Linked DNA regions of Lepisosteus oculatus. The protein of the gene in region 2 purifies or fractionates together with the protein of the main gene of each other region. This does not show direct contact. Links are inferred from orthologs where the notes say so. Each region holds a gene or a part of one and is shown on either strand. Other genes may lie near its edges. The genes, in order: ankyrin repeat domain-containing protein 46, probable E3 ubiquitin-protein ligase MGRN1 and mc1r.

Region 1 (7,218 bases), on a different chromosome or scaffold from region 2:
CCAGGAAGTCATAGGAAGGTGAGGGCATACCAGAAATGAAGGGGAGTTGGTGGGGAACATGTAAACTCCTTCCATAAGGTGGTTAAAAATTCACCAAAGAATTGTGAGGCAACAACACTAACAGTTACACTACCATTACATTCTATTGTCTCAGTGTCTAAAACTGCTTCTTTAACGTTTACAGCACAGATTATTGTAATTTGGGGTGAAAGTAAGGCATTTATAATAATAATTGCTTGAGTTTATATAGCCCTTTTCTGGACACTCCACTCAAAGCGCTTTCCAGGTAATGGGAACTCCCCTCCACCACCACCAATGTACCTGCAGCCATAGTGCACCAGAACACTCACCACACATTAGCCAATAGTGGGGAGGAGAACAGAGTAATGAAACCAATTCATAGATGGGGATTATTAGGAGGCCAAGATGCAAACTTTGGACAGGACACCGGGGTTCCATCCCTTCTCATTTTGAGAAATAATAATAATAATAATTATAATAATAATAATTGCTTACACTTATATAGCGCTTTTCTGGACACTCCACTCAAAGCGCTTTACAGGTAATGGGGACTCCCCTCCACCACCACCAATGTGCAGCATCCACCTGGATGATGCGACGGCAGCCATAGTGCGCCAGAACGCTCACCACACATCAGCTATCAGTGGGGAGGAGAGCAGAGTAATGTAGCCAATTCATAGAGGGGGATTATTAGGAGGCCATGATTAGTAAGGGCCAATTGGAAATTTGGCCAGGACACCGGGGTTACACCCCTACTCTTTTCGAGAAGCACCCTGGGAACTTTAATGACCACAGAGAGTCAGGACCTCTCTCTTGCATCTCATCAGAAGGACGGCACCTTTTTATAGTACAGTGTCCTCATCACCATACTGGGGCAATAGGACCCACATAGACTGCAGGGTGAGCACTCCCTGCTGGCCCCACTAACACCTCTTCCAGCATCAACCTTAGTTTTTCCCAGGAGGTCTCCCATCCAGGTACTGACCAGGCTCACATCTGCTGAGCTTCAGTGGGTTGCCAGTTGTGAGTTGCAGGGTAATATGGCTGCTGACATTTACTGCCAATGCCCTGTTTTTGAACTGAACCAGTATCAGATGACGCAGATGTGATGCTGGAATCAAGTTTTGAAAGGTTTTGCCATTTACGTGTTCTCAGGTTATCTGAGGTAAAACTTTTGGAAGCTCTTTTCTCATTAAACAGTATTGCCGGTACAGGAAGGGAGAAGTCTTTTCAAGTTGATCATTAGCTAGCAAAACACATTAACATCAACCACTCCGGATGGTAAAGAAGTAAAGTTATGAGGCTGTTTCCATTCAAACTGCAGAGGGCACTGATGGAATAGCCTTTAGAAAGCTCAAGTCTCATAACCTTTCTGCTTCAGTAAATGTGCCTACAAATCACAGGTGCACTCCTCGTGTACCATTCTGTTTCATACTACCAAAATCACACACAAGTAACAAGACAAAGTACTACAGCTTTGGTGTCAGCTTTGGCCGGAACTTTAGAAACTGGGTCTCGGCAGACTGCCAGACCCAAAAGAACGGTACACAAGCAGTACTCCAGAAGGCTCTCTCTTCCTCCCACACCCACCTCTCGCTCTCGGCCAGCTGCATGGACTCCAGCTTGGAGTGTGCCCCCCGGTTGAAGCCCTTCACCTCCTGCTCCTCCAGGCCCTCCAGCAGCCGGATGGCGTCCTTGTTGACCCCTCTCCTCTTCGCCAGCACCAGGGGAGTGGCGCCGTTGTGATTGCTGTGCCAGGAACACAAGGAGACGGGTTGAGGCCCCAGCCTCCCAAAGGGCGGAAGAGTTCCCAGCACTCTGACATGGGACAGACGGGGGTCTGCACCTACCAGATGTCAATTTTGAGCCCGTTCGAGACCAGGAACTGGATGGTGTCGACGTGGCCGCAGAGGTGCAGCGCGGTGTTGCCCTGGTAGTCCGTGGCCAGCAGGTCGGCCCCGAACTTGTGCAGCAGCCGGCAGATCTCCACGTTGCCGCGGGCCGCCGCCAGGTGCAGCCCCGTACGACCGCGGTTGTCCCGGATATTGGGATCGAAGCCGCTTTCCAGGAGGCGCTTCGAGTAGTTCAGGTCCCCGTCGATGCAAGCCTGCAGCAGGGGCACGTTCGTTTGGGAAGAGTCATTGATGAAGACATACGACATGTCTGAGTGGGTGTCGGTAAAGTCCAGGGTACCTGCGGGACAAGAAAACAAGCGCCGGGAAGGGTGTGTTGGAAAGTTAACTTTTAGTGAAGTGGTGTTGGGGTAAGATAGGCGGCGCGTCTGTCACACCCTCAAACTCGCACTGGGCTATGAAAGCCTGTCATCACTTGGACATTAACCCTAAAAAAAACATGTACGGTTAACGAAGCGAGAAAAGATTTAATACATTTTTCCAGATTTGCTTTTATTTTTAATACAAAATTACTGCGTCACGAGTGCGGTCCCATAAACATCGTAACATAAAGAACGAAATCTCCATCAAGCGCAGAAAAGGAGAGTTCACATCCGCCCCCTTCGGATCGGATGCGCTCATCTGGGTACACACCGATCCCACAGGTACGCCCCAACTCTGCACCGCAACGGAGAGCCGATAGTAAACCATTACATCACAAATTAATAAACACACGACATCGCCTGGACCTCCCGAGCTAAACCGAAGCGTACCTTAACGGGTGATGCCTATGTTTAAGCACAGATGCACGCCAAGAATCGTATAAAATATAAATACATTCCAGCAAAGAAAAGAAATAATTTAGGATGCACCTAAGCCGTCACAGATCCACTAAATTGGATTCTGCTTAAAACATCCTTTCAAAAAACCTTCATCATCAAGACGACTCGCTTACATGCATCGTATTTACATAAGCAGTCTTAAGCAAACTTCCCGAAAGCAGCAGTATTACCCATTACCTGATTATGTTTTGCAAAAGAACCGAAAAAATATGCCTCTTTTCCTTTTTATTTTGTTGCCGATCTAAGACGACACAAACCACCCGTAAACGGACCTGACAATTTCACGTCTACATCAGGGTGCTTTACGGCAGTAGGAGCTGTCTCGTTTCCATGGTTACCCCAGTCAGGAGCCGCCTACTCACTTGTAAGGGAGATTGACCCATCATTATATAAGACACAGCAATCTAAATCTACGAGTCAGAATCGCCGTTTTAAATAAAAAAGGTATCATTACAAGCTTTCAAAATAGAATTTAACATCATATAAGGTATAAAGACTCAATGTAGTAATAGTAGAGGGCAAATTAGGAAGGTGTTGCCAGATCTGAAAAGCTGAGAAGACTGGGCCTGGTCAGTACTGGAATGGTAGATCGCCATGAAAACTGGGCACCTGCTATAAGTAGCACTGGTGGACCAGTAAGTGGTTCTCTTCACCCATAACAGAATTTAATAATAATAAGAAGAAAGAATTTCTTGCATAATGTGCAGCATCCACCTTAACGATGAAATGACAACCAAACTGTGGACAGTAGGCTCTCCACACATCAGCTATCAGTGGGTTGAAGAACAGAGTAATGAAGCCAAGTCATAGATTATTAGGAGGCCAGGATACCAGGGTTACACCCCTACTCTTTTCAAGAAGTGCCTTGGGATTTTTAATGACAACAGAGAGTCAGGACCTACTGGCCCCACTATCACCTCTTCCACTAGCAACTATAGCTTTTCCCAGGAGGTCTCCCATCCAGGTGCAGGCCAGGCTCAAACCTGCTGCACTTCAGTGGATTGCCAGTTGTGAGTTACAGTATGATATAGATGCTGGGTACATTCATTATAATAATTCACAATCCAATGTCCCTGCCTGGTGACAGAGACAGTGTGCTGAAATAGGTGCCGTCTTTCATTGAGACTTTCAAACTGAGTTCCTGACTTCTTGGTTATTAAATGTAAAAATAAATTGCACTTTTCCAAATTTTAGGGATATTAACCCCAGTTTTCTGAATACATTCAATTCAATGTGGAAATGCAGGCCTTCTTAAAGTCTTCCCTAAATTAAATGGTGAAATAATTTCTCTCCTCACCACCTGGTCTGCTGTATGTTGGTATTGCTGGTGCAGGATGGTGTAGTTTAGTGAGAGAGATGTGGGTCCCCTCCTATTTGTAAAGCACTTTTGGGATCAAATGCAACCAATCATTGATTGTTTTATACAATGAAAAAACAAGTACTGTATTTAAGACACTGGGAAAATACTGAAGATGACCGTATTACCTTTAGAAAAACCCATGTGTTCATAGTTGATTATGTTTGTCGGACTTTGCCTTTATGTTGTATCAAAGAAATTATTTATATATCGCAGATGGGCCCATCCTGTGCAGTTCTTATACTGGAGAAAAGAAAATGTGATATGTAAAAAATCAGTGCGCTGCAATAACATGTAGCATGTTATGTAGCACAACCACCACACGAAAACACTAACAGCTACAAATTCCAAGATCTAAAAGTACAGACTATTGTTGTTAAAAGAAAAGCATTACAATACAAAGCTCAGAAATTGCAGTAATACTGGATCATACAATGAAAGTGTAGAGTAGGAACAGTTTTGAAGAGGGTGGGCAGTTATATTACTGTCGAGTACAGTATCTGTTTACACTTTAGGGTTCATTCTTTTTTGGGCAACCGTTCTGGACTGTACTTGCTCTTTTATCAAGCATGGTGGTGGAAAGACATAAATCTCTGGACAAGAGTTTCTGGAGTGTTTTTGCTTTTGGATGAAGAACAAAATCTCTAAAGCATTTTAAGAAGTAGGAGTAGTAGTAGTAGTAGTACTAGTAATAAAAATAACGGAATTAGGCACTGGAAATGAAACCTACCCGTGAAACACCAATACCCACAACGCACCTCAGTGTTTTCAGTTTCTATTAACGCCTAGTACCATAACATTGCCTACCGGTAGTTGTAGTTTATGATCCCTATCGTCGCCTAGAGATGCCACCACCAGGAACTACATTCCCCACAGTGCAGCGCGCACTATTTTTTTATTTCACCGCTTTAAACCCAGTTGACAGCCGGAGGATGGAGGCAGGTAAGAATATCACTCTCCGAGGCTAAAAATCGTCGTAAAGATTAAACATAAAAGTGATTTTTTGTCATGATTAATTAGGCTCTTCAGCAAAACCGTACAGAAAGAATTCCGTTCATCTTTAACACTGCGTTTCTGGATACACATCTGAGTTGGAAGTTTCTGTATTGTTTCTATCTGGCCCTCGTTAAGTGTAAACTTTACAGATTGGATTCTCTGTGTTTGAATTCCTTAAAGCAACGATCTTTTTTATTACTTAATTAATGTGAGTTTGTATTGGTTTTTGGTGGGATTGGGCAATTAAGATATAGAGCCGGTATATAAATAAAACCCCTTTTTTTTGCTTAGCGATGTTCGTTTCGGTGTATCCTCTCATTTTTTTCGGTCCTTGATATAATTTCTGGCATTGGTCAGAATACGTTTAGTATTTAATAGCTAATAATAAATAGCAACATCAGTAGAAAATCTGTCCCATTGGTACAGCTCGCAAAATCGACTGTGTTTTTTTTTTTCTGTTTTCAAAAACACGCCTGAATCTGTAATACAGATACTCCAAATCTCTGAAGTCCCGGAAGATCTGGCTTTTCCAGATGTAGAAAGTCTCGGAGATTTCAGGCGCAGCATAATGTCTGCGGCGTCATCATGGGGCTAGTTTTCTTATTGTCTCTCCGTGTTAACTGCACAGTCGCAGTGTTTGCGGAAAGGACAGATTCAATGTAGCCGACCGGAGTTTGAGGTTCCGTCTAATAAAAGGGCTGTCCTAGCTCGGATTCTGGAGGGGCGGAGTATCTGCGAGCTGTCATTCAAGTGCTGCTCGTGAAAACCAAAACCGTCTGGGTTACTGGCTTAACCGGACCACTTAAACCCCAACGATCTTTCAGTTTTGCGTGTCCGGATTAACAGTTCTGAATTGGACAGTCCCGGTCTAAAATACACAGTTTAAGCACCTCTCCTGATCTAGGATCTTCTGACGGGTATTCAATAACTCGCAGATGTGCAGGAGAGGTTCAGAGATGCTCTGAACTACAGTATGCGGCTGTTTCTGATCGTGCTGTCTTTTAAACCTATTGACTGAAAAAGTCAGTTAATTGGTTGGGAGATTCATTTGACCAGCAGAGAGGGTTACTTGTATAATAATAATTAAGAATTCCTTACACTTATATATATGACACTCCACTCAAAGTGCTTTAAAGGTAATGGGGACTCCCCTCCACCACCAATGTGACAGCAGCCATAGTGCACCAGAACACTCACCAGCTATCCGTGGGGAGGAGAGCAGAGTAATGAAGTCAATTGATAGATGGGGATTATTAGGAGGTTATTAATTGGTAAGAGCCAATGGGAAATTTGGCCAGGGCGCCAGGGTTACACCCCTACTATTTTCGAGAAACACCCTGGGATTCTTATTGACCACAGAGAGTCAGGACCTCGGTTTTACATCTCATCCGAAGGACTATGCCTGTTTACAGTATAGTGTCCCCGTTACCATACTGGGGCATTAGGACCCACATGGACCAGAGGGTGAGCACCCCCTGCTGGCCCCACTAACACCTCTTCCAGCAGCAACCTTAGTTTTAGGTCTCCCATCCAGGTACTGACCAGGCTCACACCTGCTTAGCTTCAGTGGGTTACCACTTGTGAGTTCCAGGGTGATATGGCTGCTGATAACTTATGTAGGCAAATTGATTACCCAGGAAAATGTGCCTTTTTTTCAACCTGGTCTACAGAGGTTCAATGCTGCAACTCACAACTAGCAACCCACTGAAGCTAAGCAGATGAGCCTGGTCCTGGCTTCATTACTCTGTTCTCCTCCCCACTGATAGCTGGTGTGTGGTGAGTGTTCTGGTGCACTATGGCTGCCGTCGCATCATCCTGGTGGGGCTGCACATTGGTGGTGGTGGAGGGGAGTCCCCATTACCTGTAAAGCGCTTTGAGTGGAGTGTCAAGAAAAGCACTATATAAGTGTAAGCTGCTATTATTATTATTATTATTATTATTATTATTATTATTATTATTATTACTTGCATGGGTAGCCTGATAGCCTTGGGTCCTGGACCCTGATTTCGGTTTTCCCTGTCCCTCCTGGTGGGATCATGCTTTGTGCTTCTGTGTCAGGGGTCACATGAGAGACCGGGAGGAGAGAGGCCTCTGGAATACAGATTACTGC
Region 2 (7,226 bases):
AGCTCACAATCAAAGATGGTGCAATTTTACAGTCAGGCATCTCTGAAAGAAAGGAAGATGCCAGCCCAGCGGCCGAGACCCGAGCAGTTCTTCTGAAACATGGAAGCCAGCAAATGTACTTCATCGCTCATGAAGCAGCAGTGTTACCACCCTGTAGCGTGTTCTCGCCAGATCTCAGATGCTAATACTGAGATGGAAGACATCCAAGGAAAACCATGTTACAGCTGTTAGGCTGTGTCGGTACTGGTGGACCAGTAGGTGGCGTGCCTCCCTCTGGTCCTGAATTGCCAAACTAATGCCCACGTATGGGGGACGCTACTGCAGGAGGTGCTCTCCTTTGGACTGAGAGGCTGAACCGAGGGCCCCACAGCATGGTCATTGAAGATGCTGCAGCAGTGCTCGTAACAGTGAGCATGTTAAGCCTGTTCCAGCTAAACTCCACTCAGCACCCCAGATGGGTGCTGCTGACATGTCAAGTACATTGATGCCCACCAGGATGAAAAGTAATGTATAAATGCAGGGAAATACTGTTGATAAACTGGGCTCATCCCTGACAGCGTCTAATTTGATGACACATTTCAGGGTAATTTCTTTCACGATTTAACAACATCCCCTGTGTTGGAGAAACACGCTAGGAAATGCCAGACAGAAAAGTCATGGGGGATCTTTCAAAATTTCCATTACAGTATACTGTATGGACAACATCGTGGAGTAAATGGCATAGAGACCACGGAAATATAAGGGGATTGCTTTACAACTGCACCTAGATTGTCTCCTCTGCCTCCAGAACAGCCCCAGGGCCCAAAACAACAAAAAGAGCTTACCCAATCTGCTCAGATCAGAATTTAAACCCAAATCTACAGACAAGGGTTTTCCCAGGAAAACGCCAAGTCCAGAACTGTATCTTAAAGTCACTCACATCAGCCCAGCCTGCCAAGCCCAAGGGGTGAAACTGCTGCCACCTTTTCTCCCCTCATCCCACCCACAGGCCCTGACACACAACCACACCCTAACTTTTCACAACAACGACAACAGCAGCACTCAGGGCCAGCGGAGAAATTTCAGCATCCTCGATCTCCTAACAATCGTCCCCGTTTCGCCACGACGGTGGCGCCTGTAGTTTTAAAACCTGCGACTCTCTGGCGGCTCTGCCCGGCCTCCCTGCCTGGCTCGGACGGGCGCGGAACGACTTTCCTTTTCCCGCCCAGCTCCGACACCAAACAGGAACGCGCCGGAGGTGCCCCAGCCATCACCCGCCGGCTGAGGGGAACTGAAAGAGCTCCGCCGGGCCCAAGGTCACGTCCCCTGCGCAGGTGGGACACAACCCCAGGCCGTCAGCGTGCAGCTAAGATCAGTCCAGCATGGGGGCGTCAAGCTCCATCACTCCACTTCGCTTTGCCTGCTGGTGCTATTCTATGGAATAGCACCAGCAGCCCTATTCTATGGAAAGCAAGCGTGGCAGCCGTTTCCAAAAACCCCTTGTTTTTTTTTTTACAAACCAGATTTACCCCGTCTCGTTCTCCCTTTTGATACAGTCTCCTGTGCGACAGGAAAAAAAAACTGCCACATCCCTGCTACTGCACGGTACGCGGTGGGGATTCGGGACATCGGTTTTATTACTGTCCTGCTATGTGTGCCTCATGGCCTGGCAGCCGACCCGGGTCACGTCGTGATCGACCGCTGTCACTCCCTCACGCTGCGGGACAAGCAAGGGCAGCACCTTCACAAGCCCAAGATGCCCTCAGCTCCCGCTTGCAGGCGACTCCCGTCGTCATGACAGCAGCGGATGGCACCAGCAATCCTCGCTGGGAAAGCAGGTGTTTTTCGCCCAAACTGATTGCATCACCGGCGTACATGCAACACTTCGGTTATACGCAACATGAAATTAGTGATGAAATATCAAAAACTCTTTACAACAAAACTTTATACCGTGCAATATTCCATTTAAAGTAAAAGACCACCTTGCATCCACGCTGTCTTTCCAATACATCACCCAACCATTCTCACAAGCACTTCACAAACCATTTTTAAACGCCCGTTAAGGCAACACACAGAAACCCAGTGTGCTGGTGTGATTTTCATTTTGCGCCGATACAAATACGTGATTTTCTTTTCTACTCGAATGGCACTGCTCGGTAAGTTCACAGGCGAGGCAGGTCATCAATAACGCGCAGGTGTCCCATAAATACTATCAGACGAGAACTTTGACCCGATCCCCCCGGGGCCGCCTTCCTGTTTGTACACAAAGTCTTAGACTCCTGGGGCGGTACGCAAAGGCACCTCTGACAACACACTCAGTAGCCAGGGGTTGGCATGACTGAAACAGGGTCCTTACCGGTCTTGGGAGGGTATCTGTAGGCGGAATTTGCTTGGATGTCAATGTCTTCAACTCCCGCGATTCTCCGGCTAAGTATCGACCCCATGCTTCTCGCACGACCTTACAAACGGTAAAAACACAGGCAGCAGCGGTATAAAAGACGACGAGACGCCGGTCGCTTCAGGACTGAACGCTGTTCTGCGATTTAAGGAAAACGGCGGCGACTACGACAACGATTTCAGACGGAGAGAAATCCGTCGGACATGATGGAGAATTCCAAGATTTCTCGGGGATCGGCGATTAATCCTTTTTTTTTTTTACCAATTCTCTCATGAGGCACAGCGATATTTCCTCAGTTACATTTATAGTCCCACGACGTCAGAGGTTCATCCGGAAAAACACAGAAGTCCGAAGCCTCGAAGACACAAACGGAGACGGGAGAGAAACGGGGTTGTTGTTTTTTTTTTTTTCCGTCCCAGCAACAGGGTGTCGCGCGACATACGTGAACTCTCCCAGCATCGCGCGGAACGGGCAGGGGCTTGTGGGTCTTGTAGTTTTCAGAAGGAGGCTGCCATGCTCTCTTCGATACCTTTAACATGCCATGGAAACTACAACACTACTTAACTACGAGCGAGGAGAAGGAAAGGACTGGGTGTAGTGTCGTCGAGATTCACTCGCTGCCTCTATGACCGAATTAACACGATCATATTCGCGCTTAGCCGCTGTGACCCCTTCTTAACTTAGCTAGCTGTGTAAATAGGTATGAAAAAAACACTGTTCTGTGACTACATATCTTCACAAAGGGGTTGCAAATAAATAAGGAACAACGAAAAGTTTATTCCATGCTTCTTTGGGTGTTCTGAAGAAGGTTGCGCAGCCGAAACGTTGTGTCTCTTCTCTTTCCAGCGGGGAATAAACGTGTACCTGTCCCTTTGCAGCCTGCGCATGCTGACGCAGCTCATGACTTGTAAAGAAATAAGTCGTCAGATGGAAAACGATTAATACGAGTTTAGAGAAAAGTATACTCATGGGAAATACTGCTTAATCGTGGCCCGAGGGGGCGCAGGGGTTAGGCATCCCTGTGCAGTGTTGTGGCCCTGGATTCGATTCCTATCCGTGTGGAGTTTGTATGTTCTCCCTGTGTCCGCGTGGGTTTTCCTCCCACAGTCCACAGACACACTGGTAGGTTAACTTGCACTGTTAAAAAAAAACAGCTGGCCCTGGTGTGTACGCCTGTGCCTGTCTGTCCTGCAATGGACTGGTGTCCTGCCCGGGATGTATCCCACCTTACTGGGACGGACTCCGGTTCCCTCTGAACCGAACTGGATCGAAAAGGTTAGCAGACTGATGGGTGGACAGAATTGTACAATATGTGAAGTTACAACCGTGTATTTGTTGACATATACAAAAAACTGATTGCGATGTTTTGTGACGTGGCTATGGATATGCTGATAGTGAGGAGTGTATTGTTCTCTTTGCAAAATACCAGCGTCTTTCTGTCCAGATTGTACAGGCTGACATGGGGTTTGTTTAATGCGTGACTCTCTCTCCCTCACTTCCCTTCCAGGAATATTAATCAGAGGCAACACACACCAATAAAACAGACATGCAGAATGATATACAAACGATAGCTCTATTCACCTGGGCCACACTCAGACATTCATTCTAGAACAGATAGGATCACAAACACCAGACACAATGGGCTCTGCTCGGCCGTACTGTTGAATAAAAACAGCAACCAGCTCTTCAGAAATAATGCTGCTAGTGCTCTGAAAAAGACTGTTAGGCTTGTAGTCCCAGGAACAAAACAGTGTTGTCTTTCAGGCGTCAAAACGGAATCGAGGAATAAAACTAACCACACGGGATAGCGTACATGCGAGAAGGAACCGACATATTTTCATCGGCAAACTCCGAGAATTTACTCATTTAAAAAAACAGTCTTTCATCTGACATTCGGCCATAGGAGGACGCCCGTCCGGCCGATTGGCACAGAGGTCAAGCGTGTCCTAACAAAACTGGCGCAGATCCCCTACTCCCGGACCACAACACCGGCCTTACACACAGCGCCCCTCAGCTGACAGCTCCTGGCCCCGCCCCTGCTCGCTTTTCATTGGCGCTCAGAGGTTTGTTGGCCTAATATGGTAAGATAGTGACACAAAGCGCCCAGGAATTGGACGGGAGCGGCCGTCATTCACAAAAAAAAAATGTTTTGCTTTCTAGAATTTTACAAACAAAGCGTGTGGTGCCGGGATTTGTAGTCCAAAATGCAAACAATAACACAAGGGGGGCACGGAGATCTGCACTTACAGCTAATCAGGATTCGTTTCTACACTCAGATATACAGTTTAGAAACCGTGTCGAGCCCAAAGGTGAAACGTATTTCTAAATACCATTTAAATGTCATACAGTAAATATATGGCCAATTCAATGTTATCGGGGGGAAAAAAAACGCCGTCTTAATGTGTCACCATTCTGGATATAAACCGAATTTAAGACTGTATTGAACTTGGATAGTATGTATTTGGGCTTAGTTTTTAAACTCCTCACTCAGACCCGCGCGAAAACAGAGAAATCGCCGGAGTTTCTGTTCTTAGGCTGTCGTGCAAAACGAGCTCTCTGACACTGCGTGAAAACACGTGTGGGGGCAGCGGGGGGTTTCAGAAACTACAAATCCCACAAGCGGGCAGTCCCACCCCCTCGCTGCCGTCAGCAGTCAATCAGAAGGAGCCCTCTAGACTGGCGATCCTACAGTAAATATTTGTGTTTGCTGAGCCGGCTGTAATGGTGGATCACTGAAAGAGACAGAAAGGGAAAGAGAGAGAGAGAGAAAAAAAACAGAAGCAAGGACCGAGACGCAGAAAGAATATCACACGACACGCTTGAAACGGTTACCGCTTCGGCGACTATGGATGATCTAAAGCACCAAGTGATGATCAATCAGTTTGTTTTGACGGCTGGGTGCGCGGCGGACCAGGCGAAGCAGCTCTTGCAAGCGGCACACTGGCAGTTCGAGGTATGGGCTCTGGAGCTGGTGTTTATATATATATACACACACACACAGTCTATCCGCGGGAGAGAGCGGGTGCTTTGTGCGTAGGATTGCCATGTTTAGTGTCTTGCCCGAGAAGGTTGATTTGCAAATGATGTCGAAAGCCGGGACTGAAGAGATCGTCAACCCGAGCTCCCTTTCTTATTCACCGCGTCGTCTAGCAGAAATGTGGTGCTACGTGTAGCGAGCATGATTGTGTTCAGGAGGGGACGAGTGCATCCATATAGCTCGAAATCCCCCCCATCAGAATGTGCCCTGGGTGCCACAGTCCCCTTGCGCGGCTCACACAGGGCAGGAACGGTGTTGTGCAATATATGGCCGTCGTGTATTGCCTTCGCCGTGCCGTGACTGCGAGAGACCCCCCCCTCACCTCACCTCACCTCACCACACCAGACCCCCCCTGCTCGCTTGACCTGGTGACCGTGGGCACCGGCCCCCCGAGCAGCGACACGCCGGGCTGTCAGGCGGCGAGCGGCCCCGGCGAGACCAGCCTCTCTTAAATTCACGCTTTCTCCCCTTGCAGACTGCGCTCAGTGCCTTTTTTCAAGAAGCCAACATCCCGTACAGCCACCACCACCAGATGGTGAGTATATACTTTTTTTCAGTGCATGCATGTCCGTGCTTTATTATCGGGATTAGTAGTACTTTTATTATTATGATTATGATTATGATGATGATGATGTGTCCGCCATGTTGCCGGGGCTAGAAGCTGGATAAAAACATAAACAAGACGGCGCACGCTTGGGTTCCGACTCCGCTCTCCTAGCTTTCTAGTTTTCTGTCTGGAGGAGGGGAGGGAAAAAAAAGGCTTTTTTTTAAAAAAAAAAAGATGATAGATCGGAGCTATCGCAAGGAAGCCGTCGAGTTCGTTCAACTCGGGTTACAAGAGGACCGGTTCCTTCTCCGGCCCGGTTATTTATTTATTTTTAAAATTGCGGTTTTGAAAACGTGTCTCCGAAGAGGAGGTTGTGGTGGTGGGTGGGGGGGTGATTCCAGGAAAACTGTGAACATGGTGTCGGTCTGCAGTTTCGACACGAGTCTCTCCCCTCCCTCCCCCCTCTACTTACACACCAGAGCAGCTCCGGACTCTTCTCTTCCCCTGTGTCACTGACCGCCGCGCTGGGTCAGGATCACAATCTGCGGGTCCTGTGGCATATTGGAAACAGGGTAGTAAACTGTTTTCCCGTATCAGGACAACACGTAAAAAAAAAAGCACCCAACTGGTACAGCGTTTGGCTGCAGCTTTTACCTGCAAATGAATGGCTGGAGCAGGATCTGCGACCCCCCCGCGATTTAGTTCGCTCAAATACACGGCAAGTCCCGGTTATTTCTGTAGGACGTGACGTGTCGTCCTGCGGTGGGAGTGCAGTTTCACGCCAGCGATGTGGACATAGTGAAAACGGAGCTTATTTGTGAATCGTTTCTTTACGGGGCGCCCTGATCGCCGGCAGCTCTCGGGCTGTGATTGTCAGCGCAAAAGCTTTCTTTCCAAGAAAGCGCAACATGCTCTCTACCGGCATGAACGGTTTCTGGGTTCAGTCCTGACATCTTTATAATGTTACATTTATTATTATCATCATTATTGTCATCGGCGCACAGGAGGCTGGAAAAAGCTGCCGCTACAGATAATTCTAACGCTTGTTTTGGGCATTGTTTCGACAGAACACAATAAAAGAGAACACGGCTATATGTTTTCAGGAAATCCTGCAGTATAGCAGAACTACAGTGCACGATGAAAAGGACTATCGTTGTCTTGATTCTTAGTTTCCTGTTGACGGGGCGTGTGCGACCTCCCGACTTCCACAGAAGCGTAGCTGTAGAGCCATGCGCGCTCCTTCGAGTGCCTGCAACCACAGTTCG
Region 3 (7,811 bases), on a different chromosome or scaffold from region 2:
AGTCTGGGATGTTTTCATACCACAGTCCCCAAGCCCTGCCAAGGAGACTGACTCCTGATTCCTGACGCTTTGCTGCATCTCAACATTATCTTGACAGCTCATCAAGCCAAATCCTGTGCCGAGTTCCACAGTGTTAAGCAGACAGAGCACGTTAGTCTCTCTGGCCCCTGAGTGAGATGCTGGTCTATCATAGCAATCAGACCGAGCAATGCTGGTCCCAGTTTCTACAGCTGGGTGGACTGGAGGCACTGGGGTACAATACCTCACTTGCAGTACAGCAGGGTCCATGGTGGTGCATAGCATTAACCCATAGTTAATGAGACCAGAAAGTGACTCAGTTCTCTGTGTTGGTCCCATTGAGACAAACTGAGCCAGTGATATACTGTATTTGAAATGGTTTTCCTTGTTTAAGTGTGCACTGCTCAGGGCAAAAAATGTTTCAGTGGGGAGGCATTAACTGCAAATTATGCAAAGATTTTGAATCTGTTGTTTAACCAGATATGTCAATTGCAAACAAACGATTATTTCCAGCGAAGACCTGAGAGGGGCCCTTTTATATATCAGGATATGAACTGGAGTAATCGGAGCGAAGGACTTTACTCAAGCAGCACAGCAACATTGGCCCGGGGATCTGAGCCAGCAGCTGTCTGGGAAACACGCCAGAACCACTGAGCCACAGTTCTGTGCTTTCTGCAGGGGGCGCTGTTGTTTTTTTGTATTTCAACATCAGGGACTGGTGAGTTTGGTGGGTATTATCACTGCCCACTATTGCCCCCAACAGAAACACACAGAGAAGAACCTGCAATCTTGGATTCCCTCCATGGTGAGGTCCATGCCTGCAGGTTCTCCAGCCTCCTCAGTGTCCTGGTGTCCTGTCCAGGGTGCATCCTGGACCCTGTCTTGCGCCCATGCCTTCCCAGGACAGGCTCCGGCTGCAGCTCCCCTCACAGCCCTGTACTGGATAAGCGGATTAGGAAATGGATTGATGGATGTTGATCCAGTGATCAGATGAGGTTTAAGGCAGAATGAAGATCAGGCTGCCAGACACTTGTGAGGGAAACAGAGAAGTGATGACTCATGCAGTCTTACCCTGCTAAGTTGGATAATGATTATAATCTCCTTGCTTTTGATCTACAAAAGTCAAAACTGAATCCGTCAAAAGGCTTGATTGTTTGGCTTGAGTTTAGTTATCCCCTCCTTGTCCTCCTCTCCCCAGCTCTTTGTCACTGTTCATTTGGGAAGACATGGACATGCTGCTGCTGTTGAGGTACAGTGTTTGTTTTTTATTTCACCCTGTGTTGTCTTGATCAGTTCTTTGTATTTCCTCCTGACCTCAATACTCTCTTGAAGATGCAGCTGAAGAACAGCAGTGCCCTTTCTTTTTTTTGTAATCAACATTTTTATTGGATTTTCAAACAGATTAAAAAACAAATAAAAACAAACATCAACACTACAATCAACATTACAGTACCAATACAGCTATACATTTTTATCTCAACCTAATGTAATACAAGTTTAATACACGTTAATATAGATTACACTGTATGTGTATTTACTGTTTTAAGAAATAAGCTTATTTCTAACAGTTATGGAAATCCCTTCTCCAGATTGGGTCATTTTAAGAATTTCCTAGCTGTTGTACAACTTAAGTTCACAATATACTGATATGTGAGTATTCAGTGTTTATCTGGCACATTGTCTGGGCATAACCATAGTTGTAGAATTTTGTTAACTGCTGTGAAGCCAACAAAAAGCAGTCCTTTATGAATTAAAACACAAATTAACCAAATAATGGTCATTTAACAAGCAAAGACAAGGATCTGGTTTGAAATGTGTATCAGTTAGTTTAACTAACTTAGCACATACAGAGCCTTTTGCTTGCGGTTTGTACATTAAAAGCCAGAAAAATAAGTGTTCCTTTTTCTGATTGTTCATTCAGCCCAGGTCCATGTGGTTCACCCAGTGTGAAATATGCTGCATGGCAGCTCTGTAAGTGGAAAAGGTTTGTTTTTCAAAGACACAAACCAGCACAAACGGATGTGGTGGGTTTCATCGTTAGTGCTGCTATTAGGCTGGGGGGTTCACACTTCACAGGTCAGCAAGGCCAGAATTAACTTGGAGCTGACAAGTACTACTGTGTGCATATGATCTGATTGTTCACGGACTGCACTTCAGACAAACAGTTACTATTGTTTAACTCAATAAATGCTTCATCCAGAAAAGTAGAATCTTTATGATAGGTGATAGACAGAACTGTACAGGAATGTTTTTGTTGTTGTGTATTTTTTGTTCCAGTTTGGGCTTTTCAGAGAAAGGTTTTATGTGCGTTCTGAAATGTGAACATTCACTCCAGCAGCCTTTTAAAAACTCATTACTTCACTGCAGGATGGAAGCATAATTGCTCTTTCTGCGCTCTTTTTAGAGAAAGGGAATTTATGGTTTATCGGATTAGAATTGGGAATCAATCACAGAAATGTTCTGAGTGAGGGAACTGCCCTTCTCCCAGGAACCTGCTTCAGTGAATTTTCTGTTTGTACAATGTGATAGCCAGAAATGTTTTTTCAATGATGGTAATTCTTCTCATTGACATAAGCCATGTAGCAAATGGAACAAATTTGGATAATACATCAAAGGCAACAGCTATTTTAAGAGGCCGATGACTGTTTTATGGTGTGCAGGAGCTCTTACGTAACCAGAATTAAATGATTTCATTCTTATGCATCTCTCGTTTAACTGCAGACTAACTGCAGTGTATTCTATAGACCACATCCATCCAGCCATTTTCCAACTGCTCCATCCCATTCAGGGTCGCCAGGGAGCTGGTGTCTATCCCAGCAAGCAGTGGGCGCAAGGCAGGGTCCATACAGACACAGACACACACACTTACACCAGGACCAGTTTCCCAGATGACAGTTAACCTACCAGCATGTCTTTGGACTGTGGGAAGAAACCCACTCAAACACAGGGAAAACATACTGAATCTATAACAGACAGGACCCCAGGTCCGGTATTCAGCTCAGGGCTCCAGTGCTGCAAGGCAGCAATGCTGGGCACTGTGCCTCTGTGCCAAACACTACCATCTTTTATTATTGTTGTTCTAGTTATACTTGCTTTCATCTGACCAATGTATTTTGCCCATCACTGCAAGCTCTTCTGTTAATATGGTAAACTGCAAGAGAAAGATTAACACAGTCTATAGCTACATCTTTCAGAAGAGTTTCACAAGGGAGGGGAGACAGACACACCACCTAGCCTGTTTGATAGTAGTAGGTAGTTACTTAAAGAAGCAAGTAAAGGTTTATTCCGTGTTTTTGGAGGCTTAGATGTGTCTCAAACATAATTCTTATTTAAATATCAGCAACGTGTAATCACGTTGTTTAGCAGACCACTGTTAAGAAATTAGGAAAATGTTATGAAATTATAAATAATTCCGAGCTATGCGTTTGCTAAAAATAACTCAAATTAGAATGTTAAATCTAATTACTTTTCTCCATTAAAGGCATGTATCTTTTTTAAATCTTGAAATTCTTTCCGGTTTTGAATGCGCTCTTTCATAAGAAATGAGCCCCAGGATAACAGTAGTAATGTGACCGGAGATATAATTTATCCAAGTCCTTTAAAAATCGAGTCTGTTTAGTTTGTGCAGGGAAAGTGGTGTAAGCAACGAGCCCGCAGTACTTAAAAACATTGTTCTGCTCAAGTTGGAACTGTAATTTAAATTCTAACGATTAAGACAGACGGTAGCTAATTTTCAAAGTATTGCCATCGTGCTGCTCTAGAAAGAATGTACAGTATTATCCTAGAAGTGTTCCTAGACATCTCAGACATCGTGCTCTTTTGAGCATTTCGAAATGCGGTTCGATTAGTGACCCGCCCTTTCACCCAACACCGAAAACCCCTTCTGTTTTTTTGATGGCACGACACGTGAAGGTCGACCACAAAATAATGTTAGTGTCTCACTTCTCGATTTCAAAGAACGTTCGGTTCGGTTCGGTTCGGTTTGTGTAATTGCGATACCAATACAATAGCACTGTTTTTTTAAATATAAAGGAATATGTTCTTGATTGTTTTTCAATTTCTTCATTTGAAGGCATCCTTTCTTAACTTCCATAGTCTTTAAACTACTAATTTGCACAGGCTGCTGATTAAATCAGTAACCAGCTTTGAGCAGTTTGTTACAGATCGTTAACACGTTAGATTGGTAGTCAGTACAGTTTAGTTTTATACTTTAGTCAAGACAAGCCCGTATTTTACAATTTGTTAACTGCAAATGTTCAAATATAATACATACTAAAGATTACTCCATATTTTTTTCTTAATTAAATTCATAGAGGACTAATGTATTATCAGACTCAACGTGGAAATGAAACAGTAATATCTATTTAGTAAATGTTCAATTTACACATTTATTTTAGTATCAGGGCTGAACACTGAACGCGTCATGTTTAACAAAGTATCAATCATTACATTGTAAGAACATTTATTCAAAATTTGCTACCGCAATCTTTACAATTAAAGGTTGTGAAAATGTTTTAATGTTTTAAGTTCTGGTTCTGCGCTCATTTGGCTGTTTAATTTGGCTAATTTGGCTGTGAACGATCAGATGTGTTTCTCACTGCTGTAGCTCTCGCAGGTCAAAGCGCACGACACGACACACGGCGTGTTCACCTGTTGTTACGCGTCTGTCTGACTTTATTTTTAGGCGGGTTAAGTAGCTTTAAAACCAACCAGTTTTAAACCAGTTAAAACCAAAATAATTAGTTTACACAAAAAGGTAACTGTCAACACATGCCTAGTAGCTCCAATATTGCGACCGCGACACGAGTCCGAGTGGCTCATTCAGTGTTTGTATTAATAAAAAATAACTTTAACAATTTTCGGAATTAAGAAAAATATTAACTCCGCTATGTTCATATTTCAGTGCGATTTTGTGTCTCAAACAGCGAGACTTATCAGTCAATTGCGCAATGAAATCAGTAATTCCTGTAATAAGTAATGATGTTCGCTGCCATCAAGACTGAAACGGTTTTTAATCTTTTAATGATCCTTGCCCAGAGCGCCACAAAGCGCCGAGTCTTAGTGTGACATTTATTTTCGCAAACGACGACGCAGATGTTAGCCATACGAGTTTATTGCCATACGGGACCTCAGCATTGAACTGAGCTGACTTGGCTTCATGAAAATGACATTTTTTGGAGGGTTTGTCATGTGCTTGCTCATCACTGGGATAGGTGGAGCCTGAGCAAGACCCCGACCTTTAAAGAAGAGCGAATTGTCTCTTTTTTTTCAGATATATTATATTTAAAGATGCTTCGATTGTCCTTTTTGTAACGATCTTCACCAGTTAAAGATCTCGTGCGAGCTGGGACGACAGTTCGCGAGTCAATCCGCCTGTATCGGCTCTGACAAGAAAGCGGCAGCCTTAAGAAGGGAATTCCTAGCAGACACAACATTCTTCATTTTTTAATATTTAGATTAATACCAAGGGATGAGATGCTGACAGGCACCCGGGACTTCGGGAACGGTATATATTCACTCCTGAGTTTAAAGGGAAATTAAATATATTTTTTCAATCTACACGTGCAAATAAAATCCGGGATCTCATTAATTACCTCAAAAGTCTAAAAGAAAAGGCAACGTTTTTGACCTGCGGGATATCTGCTGTTCCTATTTCCTGGGACTGGAGGAACGCATCTCTGATGTGCACTCAAGCACCTGAGCGACGAGACCCAGCTGAGGTGAGTTCGCCCGGATTCCTGTTTCTGCTCCCGAGCAGCGAATTGCCTGCAAGCCACCCAGAGCTACCGAAACAGCAACACGAGAGCTAAGAGGTAAAAACGAATGTATATTAAATTTGTATAACCTTCCTTTTATTGTACTTCTTGCGGTTTTGTAGTGCTTTATGTGCGTTAGGTGTTGTTATATCTTGTTCTGTAAGGTGCACTTTTTTTTCTGAAAGTAAAGATTTAAAATACATTTAAAATAAAGTGACGGATTGGATACTTGTAATGCACACAGACCAGTATTAGCAAAACTTCGCACCGATATCAATATCAAATACTAAAGACGATGAGGGTTTGAGATGAAATGACACGCCCTTTAAATGGAGGCTTTCATTCATGTATATTTGTTTTTAGTGCAAGGCCATAGAGAGCAACTCAGACTGACAGCCCTGCTTCCATCGAGCACGTCCACACTGTTTCTTGCGGCTGAGCCAAAGGACATGAACGTTACAGCCTTCAATCCTCTCATCATGAAACACCTTGAGGTCAGCCCCCTGGATTCCACGCACTGGGAGAACACCTCTAACGTCTCCCTGGGCAGCCCCAACTCCACCGGCTGCGAGCAGATCACAATCCCCCACGAGATCTTTCTGACTCTGGGCTTAATTAGCCTGGTGGAGAACATTTTGGTGGTGCTGGCCATAATCAAGAACAGGAACCTGCACTCGCCCATGTACTATTTCATCTGCTGCCTGGCCGTCTCCGACATGCTGGTGAGCGTCAGCAATGTGGTGGAAACCATGTTCATGCTGCTGATCGAGCAGGGGGTGCTGGTGGTGACCCCGGACATGATGAAGCAGCTGGACAACGTGATCGACATCATGATCTGCAGCTCGGTGGTGTCCTCTCTCTCCTTCCTCAGCGCCATTGCGGCGGACCGCTACATCACCATCTTCTACGCTCTCCGCTACCACAATATCATGACCACCCAGCGCGCAGTGGCCATCATTGTGGTCATCTGGGTGGCCAGCACCATCTCCAGCACGCTCTTCATCGTCTACTACAACTACACAGCCGTCATCATCTGCCTCATCACCATCTTCTGCACCATGCTGGTGTTCACCGCGGTGCTGTACCTCCACATGTTCATCCTGGCTCACATCCACTCCAAGCGCATCACCACCTACTACAAGAACCGCCGCCAGCACCAGGCCACCAGCATGAAGGGGGCCATCACTCTGACCATCCTGCTGGGGGTCTTCGTCATCTGCTGGAGCCCGTTCTTCCTCCATCTCATTCTCATCCTCACCTGCCCCAAGAGCCCCTACTGCGCCTGTTTCTTCAGTCACTTCAACCTCTTCCTCATCCTCATCATCTGCAACTCCCTCATCGACCCCATCATCTACGCCTACAGGAGCCAGGAGCTGCGCAGGACTCTGAAGGAGCTCGTGTTCTGCTCCTGGTGGTTCACCATGTAGGTGGTCCTCCACAGAGACAGGGGGAAGGAAGAAGGAAAAAAGCAAACAAAATGAACTCTTTTTGGAGCAGCTGGCATGAGGAAGGGCTACAGTGTGACTCTGTTTGCTCTGTTTGGATTTTGCGTGGTAGCTCTTTTCCCCTTTCCTTCATTGCAGTCTGCTGAAGCATCAGTAAAAGTCATGATGTAACGGTGAAGAAGTGGGTTCTTAAGAGCACCAGAAGTCAAAATATCCAGCCCTTTTAATGTTGAATAGAAAAAACAACATAAATTGCGTCTAAGGTTTGTAAAGTTTTGTTATAAAGTAAAGTAAAATCAAACAATCAAATAACTATATTTTGGCGCCTTTGAAACTTTTTTTTTACATACTGTAACTGGTGACTTCTTACTGGCTGAATGTACTGAAATGTTATTTTTTCAGACTGAAGGGGAAGGCTAAGGAGCTGATATTTCTAAAACAATCATGCACGTCTTTAAAATTGTAAGTCTGAAAAATAAAAATGAAAAACTGATCTACTCTTCTAAAAGCAAACCATTCTACCACGTGAATTGGAATACAATTCTCTAAAATAAGGGATATCAATAAAGCAACAGTTAGCCTTCTCTTTACA

Evidence for each region.
Region 1: the proteins of probable E3 ubiquitin-protein ligase MGRN1 (region 2) and ankyrin repeat domain-containing protein 46 purify together in Homo sapiens (co-immunoprecipitation; 3 studies listed by BioGRID and IntAct, counting the BioPlex papers as one, with this or other methods). This does not show direct contact. The link is inferred for Lepisosteus oculatus from reciprocal best matches to the Homo sapiens genes MGRN1 and ANKRD46.
Region 3: the proteins of probable E3 ubiquitin-protein ligase MGRN1 (region 2) and mc1r purify together in Homo sapiens (affinity purification with western blotting; 3 studies listed by BioGRID). This does not show direct contact. The link is inferred for Lepisosteus oculatus from reciprocal best matches to the Homo sapiens genes MGRN1 and MC1R.

What each region holds. Positions count from the first base shown.
Region 1 is NC_090703.1:40,735,200-40,742,417, reverse strand, and holds the start of ankyrin repeat domain-containing protein 46, read right to left. Parts: upstream 3,052-7,218; 5' UTR 2,933-3,051; intron 2,215-2,932; 5' UTR 2,183-2,214; coding exon 1,872-2,182; intron 1,771-1,871; coding exon 1,612-1,770; intron 1-1,611. Other genes in the region: cysteine protease ATG4A, read left to right, coding at 5,045-5,054.
Region 2 is NC_090714.1:16,015,466-16,022,691, reverse strand, and holds the start of probable E3 ubiquitin-protein ligase MGRN1, read right to left. Parts: upstream 3,098-7,226; 5' UTR 2,639-3,097; exon of another isoform or gene 2,438-2,638; 5' UTR 2,424-2,437; coding exon 2,336-2,423; intron 1-2,335. Other genes in the region: ubald1a (UBA-like domain-containing protein 1), read left to right, coding at 5,223-5,330, 5,890-5,949. UniProt on the Homo sapiens protein: E3 ubiquitin-protein ligase. Mediates monoubiquitination at multiple sites of TSG101 in the presence of UBE2D1, but not of UBE2G1, nor UBE2H. Plays a role in the regulation of endosome-to-lysosome trafficking.
Region 3 is NC_090715.1:16,475,703-16,483,513, forward strand, and holds mc1r (melanocyte-stimulating hormone receptor), read left to right. Parts: upstream 1-5,063; 5' UTR 5,064-5,831; intron 5,832-6,137; 5' UTR 6,138-6,223; coding exon 6,224-7,201; 3' UTR 7,202-7,295; downstream 7,296-7,811. UniProt on the Homo sapiens protein: Receptor for MSH (alpha, beta and gamma) and ACTH. The activity of this receptor is mediated by G proteins which activate adenylate cyclase.